2 linked regions of the Xenopus tropicalis genome follow. The protein of the gene in region 1 binds, or shares a complex with, the protein of each later gene. Links are inferred from orthologs where the notes say so. Each region holds a gene or a part of one and is shown in the gene's direction. Other genes may lie near its edges.

Region 1 (3,760 bases):
ACAGCAGTGAGCAGGGGTACATTTTTGTGCACAGATGCCATTTTGTCCATTTTACTTAATGTTGCATGTGCTTTCTGGCAGTTCAGAAACAATGCATTCAGCAGATATATAAACAAAATAAGCCTGATCATTCTGGGCCCATACATATGCCAGCGGTCTGCCAATTCAGTTAATAAAGTCAGAATCAGCACCTATTAAAAGCGCAGACTAAAAGAAACAGTCTGATCAGGTGCGGACTGGAAATGGGGCCTTGGCATTTAATTATACGCGGATACCCAAATAGCCCCCTATCACCCCAATAAATAGTGTCTGTGACATCTTACAGCAGCCCTTCTGGCATTTATCACAATCCACAGATTGCACGTCTGAGTCTAATTGGAGGTTTCAGCTCAAGATATTTAATAATAATTCATAATATATAATATGAAAAGTTGCAGTGCAACTAGCCGCTCTTAAATGGTGTGAATAGATAAATGGGTTGATGAGCGGAACTAAGTCACTCATATCTGTTTCCCACCGGAAGTTGTTTGCTTGTGCAGTCGCCGGGAAAAGGGGGCAGAGAGATACGACAGCCTGTTTCCTTTCGCTGTGCATTGTGGGGCAGGCGGGACGCCATTAGAACGCAGAACAGAGCCACGCTAGTAAGTATTACCCAAAGCAAACAAAAGTTCGGTAAAAAGTCTGCGCTTTGCAGGATTGTCAGAGAGGCCCGGGGGTTGCAGCGTGCGGATATCTGGGCGGGGTGTGCGTCTCGGTTACTCGGCGCTTGTTCGCTTTCCCTTAGGTCTGTGCGGTTGGCAGCTTTGTATGAGTGTGAGCAGGGCTTCCCTCTAAATATTGCCTTATGGTGAGGTTATATACAGGGTGCCGGGCCCAACGCATCTCACTGTGTTACCAGTCCGTTATCCGTTTCTATAAATATTCCTGCCTTAGGCCGGGGGCACTGAAACGTTTGTGTAGGCCTCAGTGCCAGTATCCCAGGGAACTCATTCATTGAGGGTTACTCCTCTGCTTCTGCGGGTTGTGCTGCTGCGATGTCCTAACGTGCATGTGTTTCTGAAGGGCTGGGCATGTTTGTGTGCATATGTATGGCTGAATTTATAGACTGTAAGTGATTAAAGCTTTAGGCTGGATAAACATTATGTAATAAGGATTTTTATTTGAATATACCTTATAGTTTGCACATGGCTGCATTGTATGCAGTAACCTGCGTTGCGCTTTGTATGTTCTCCACGTTTTTTTGCTAATTTTTATTTCTCCAATTGCAGGTTAATCTCCATTAGCTCTCAATATGTCTATCGGTGTACCAATTAAAGTCCTTCATGAGGCAGAAGGCCACATTGTGACATGTGAAACTAACACCGGAGAGGTATACAGGGGGAAATTGATTGAAGCAGAGGATAACATGAACTGCCAAGTAAGTAAAATAAGCAAGTCATTCGTATTATATCTATAGCAAGTGCACCTAAACTTATAAATATTTACCTTATGCCATGTTTGTAAGTACGTTGGTGATTGCAGTATAAACTCTAGTGATAGACCTTATGGACCAACAATTGTAAAGGCTGTGTTAAACTAAAAATGTGTGTGTGAATTGTTAGGGGCAAAGTATTTTCCAAAAGGCACCTATTTATTCCCTATATAGTGCCTCGGTTACCCTATCCATTGCAAAAGAAGCAGTTATATTGTGGTCAGAAGCGTAAATAGCTTAAAGGAGACATGGAAAAATAGGGGAAAAAAAAACCTAATTTTGTAGACAATTATGAACAATATATGCTGCGGGTTTCATTTGGGCTAAAAAATACTCATCTGTAAATATGGCCTCTTTATTGGAGCTCCCTGTAGATCCTATCAGTTCTCTGTCCCTGTTTAAAATGAAGGGTGGGCGTGTCCTAACGGTCCCTGCCAGAAGCACAGTAGGAGGGGGGAAGGCAATCACAGCCCAGCACTCACACAAGCAGAGACAGGCTTCAGTTCCCTATCAGGTCATCCTAGCTGCTGATTGGTTCCTATCCAGCCAGCAGGAAGTGGAACAGATGGGCGGGACTATTAGGGTTTTGGTGGAATTTCTCAATAAAACAGTCCAAAAAACAATTTTTTTTAAACCACAGTCCTTCTATATCTAGAGGAGTATAATTTACTGGTACATTCTTAATTTTTATACAATGTCTCCTTTAATCCTAATCTATTTCAATTTCCTAGCTGTGTCTCTAGATGTCAGTATATTCACAGTAAAGCTCAGTGATAAGGAGCAGAAGTAAAATATGTAAATGCTGTTGTTGCTATGCACTTTTAAACTGTTAGTTACAGGAGCCTAGTTAGTGGGGTGTGGCTACACCCGTATTGCATTCCTGTTGTGTAATTTAAAAAATATTTAGGGTGACAATTTCCTTTTGCTCTTTTTACTAAGCACTCTTCTGTTGTTCATGTATAAACTTCTCTTTTAACATGGAGAAAAGTCTCCTTTATCTACCCACAGAAGCCAAACGGTAACATATTTTGGTGTTCCTATTCTTTTAAACTATGTAAGTGTTTCAAAGTAATCAAAATACGATGTAGTGTTACCCTGCACTGGTAGAACTGGTGTTTGCTTCAGTAACACACAGCAGCTTGGATGGCTGCCCCCACTGATACTACTATAGTTCATATAAATAAGCTGCTGTGTATCAGTGGGGGCAGCCATCCAAGCTGGGATAAACTGAGTAAGGGCTCTGGCACACGGGGGAGATTAGTCGCCCGCGATTAACTCCCTGTTCGCGGGCGACTAATCTCCCCGAGTTGCCTACCCCTGCCATCCCACCGGCGAACATGTAAGTCGCCGGCGGGATGGCAGACGCGGCGGGGCGATTTCCGGAAATCACCGAAAAAGACTTGCGAGTCTTTTTCGGCGATTTGCGCGAAATCGCGCCGCCACGTCTGCCATCCCGCCGGCGACTTACATGTTCGCCGGTGGGATGGCAGGGGTAGGCAACTCGGGGAGATTAGTCGCCCGCGAACAGGGAGTTAATCGCGGGCGACTAATCTCCCCCGTGTGCCAGAGCCCTAAAGGTGCTGGTTACATAAGCTGTATTGTATTTTACAGAGCTTATCTTTTTGTCACCTGTGCCATTCAGCCCTCTTTGTTTGAATAGCTGCCCCCATGCAGCTTTATTTCTATAGACCAGGGTTTCCCAACCTTTTGTACCTGTGAGCCACATTTAAATGTAAAAAGAGTTTGGGAGCAAATGAAGCATAAAAAATTCTTTTGGGTTGCCAAATAAGGGCTGTTATTGGCTATTTGGTAGCCCTTATGGGGACTGGAAGCCTACAGGATTGTGCTGGCAATACAGCTGGTTTTTATGCAACAGAAACTTGCCTCCTTACCAGAAATTACAAAAAATAAGCACCTGCTTAAAGTCCACTGGGAGCCACTGGTTGGGCATTACTGGTATAGACTATAGCAGTGTTTCTAAAGCATTTTAACGCAGCTGTATATTACCTTGTACAATAAATAGGTTGTTTTTGGCTATTTTAATTAAAAGGGTCCTCCAGCCAAAAACTGTTTTTGTAATGAAAAAATTTAATTCTACGCAACTTGGATATACATTAAAGGAAATTTAAAACTGCAAAGACTGGTCTTCTAAACATTCTTCTACTGTGTATGAATGTTCTTGGTGCTGTCTCCCAGGAAAAGAACATGGTTTTGGCTATTCTTTGAGCTAAACAAGGGGGAGACATGAGTGTGAAGTCAAACACGATCCCGTTAAAGCTTTATAAATAT
Region 2 (2,137 bases), on another chromosome or scaffold:
CAAATAGTGTCTTTTACCTGGCAGCCATTTTCCTTCTGACATCATCAGTGACATTTACATCTGCAAACAGCTCATGTGCACTACAAAGTTCATGCAATGAAGAATGCTGCCTTACGCAGGCACAACTTACTTTGATCAAACGCACAAATTTCCCCCATGTGTAACAGACCTAAAATGATTCAACAAGCTTGAATTACTTTAAAGCACATTTATTACCTACTTCAGTTCTAACTTTTTCTTTCAAGCAAAAATAATTTTTCTTTAATAGATCTTTGCTTGTTACAAGAGGAATATACTGATAGGTCAATTTAACCCTTCGGTGTTTAACCCTGTGAAAAGCCTCTCCAAGTTATTATGTGCCAGAAATGCCCTTATACTGCCAAAGTTTACATGTCTAAAATGGGTAGTGTCTTAGTTGCTCCCTTAGGGCTCTAACATCACTTTAATGTATGCATTTACAAACACATGCTGAATGCAAAAAATTAAAAACTGTGCGCACAAAATATTTTTTGTGTACATAACTGAGAAGAAATTAGAGGGGACATTGAACCCTTGCCTTTATATAACTTTAATAAATCGCAAGACTGTGTGCTAAAATCACGGATATTATCACTTTAAAGGTAAAGGTTGGAAGGCGAGTAATCTATATGCCGCTGGGTATTGTTTCATGTGTTAACATGTTGCGGAGGTTACTATTCAAAAAATGGTTTATTCCTATAGAATTGACCCAACTGCAACCACTTTATATTTTTCCATACAGCTTTCCGCCTGTTCTCTCCCTGTGTCCCACAACTGAGCATGCAGGGAGTTTCGATTTCGCTTGAAATAGGCGGGCCAATCGCTGAAGCGAAAATGAGCAAAACACTACAAAATTACGAAACTTTATTTATTTTAGTCGGCGTCGATATATTGGTCACTCCCGGAAGCAACGTAACTTCCGGCTGCTGTAACACGCTGACTTCTTTTGTCCTCCGGAAGCCAAAGGCGCTACCGCTGCATATCATAACACCAAGTCGTGTACAGTGAGCTTGCTGTTAGCGCTTGCCATCGCCATGACAGACCGATATACTATTCACAGCCAACTGGAGCATCTGCAGTCCAAGTATATCGGCACGGGCCATGCGGATACTACTAAGTGGGAGTGGCTGGTGAACCAGCACAGAGACTCTTACTGCTCCTACATGGGCCACTTTGATCTGCTCAATTACTTTGCCGTGGCTGAGAACGAAAGTAAAGCACGGGTACGTTTTAACCTGATGGAGAAGATGCTGCAGCCGTGTGGGCCCCCAGCTGATAAGCCCGACGACTCTTAAGCGTGGCGATGGTTTCTTCTCTGAGGCTGCCTGTTATGGAGTTCTTGGAGTCGATCAAACTTATCGCCGTTCGTCTTAAAGTTTCCGGGACTTAAGCAAGAGATTCCCGCCTAATCAACAGGCGTGTATCATAAAGCAGGACTGTGCTAATTCTAAATGGAGTTTCTGAATTCCAGGAGTCCGTGATAAAGTACTTTGAGGACGTTTGTGCATTTGCCTGAAGTCTCTTCGAAATCCTTGTACGACTAATCTAGGCTTTTCTTTCAACTGCTTATCACTTGTAATAAAACAATCAACTCTTGTTGAATCCTTGTACAACATACCCTTGTTAGTTTTTTAATTGTTCACTGTGGTTCACTTATTAGATTAATAAGTATGTAAAATGTTATTGTCAGGGTGCTATGTTTGGTGTTCTTGAAGAGAATCTAGCTGCCCATCCCCCCCCCCACCCAAAAAAAAAAAAAAAACTGGAAAAGGTAAACGTAGTCAGGGTGCTTTTAGTAGCCAGCAACCCTAGGGTCAGTTGCAATTAGGCTTCATAATTGTTTTTTTTTATATAGCTTTTTGTTGAGTTGCTTTCAGTTTTCATATTCTTACATCTATCTGGTTGCTATTATTTACCCTAGGCAGTGGTTTGAACTGGAATATGAATAGGAGAAAGCCTGCATAGACAGGGGAAAAAAAACCAACCATTGCCACACAGATCAATGGTTTTTGTCTGGCAGTGTTAGTGACCCCATTTTAAAGACGGAAAGAGGCAGAAGAGAAAAGCATGTAATTTAAAAAAAAAAAAAATATGAAAATCAATTGCAAAGTTGCTGGGA

The links.
Region 2: snrpd3 (region 1) and sf3b5 share a complex: the UniProt entries of both Homo sapiens proteins name them as parts of the minor spliceosome. The link is inferred for Xenopus tropicalis from reciprocal best matches to the Homo sapiens genes SNRPD3 and SF3B5.

What each region holds. Positions count from the first base shown.
Region 1 is NC_030677.2:152,605,386-152,609,145, forward strand, and holds the start of snrpd3 (small nuclear ribonucleoprotein Sm D3), read left to right. Parts: upstream 1-1,268; 5' UTR 1,269-1,291; coding exon 1,292-1,417; intron 1,418-3,760. UniProt on the Homo sapiens protein: Plays a role in pre-mRNA splicing as a core component of the spliceosomal U1, U2, U4 and U5 small nuclear ribonucleoproteins (snRNPs), the building blocks of the spliceosome.
Region 2 is NC_030681.2:58,017,668-58,019,804, forward strand, and holds sf3b5 (splicing factor 3B subunit 5), read left to right. Parts: upstream 1-1,050; 5' UTR 1,051-1,052; coding exon 1,053-1,313; 3' UTR 1,314-1,628; downstream 1,629-2,137. UniProt on the Homo sapiens protein: Component of the 17S U2 SnRNP complex of the spliceosome, a large ribonucleoprotein complex that removes introns from transcribed pre-mRNAs.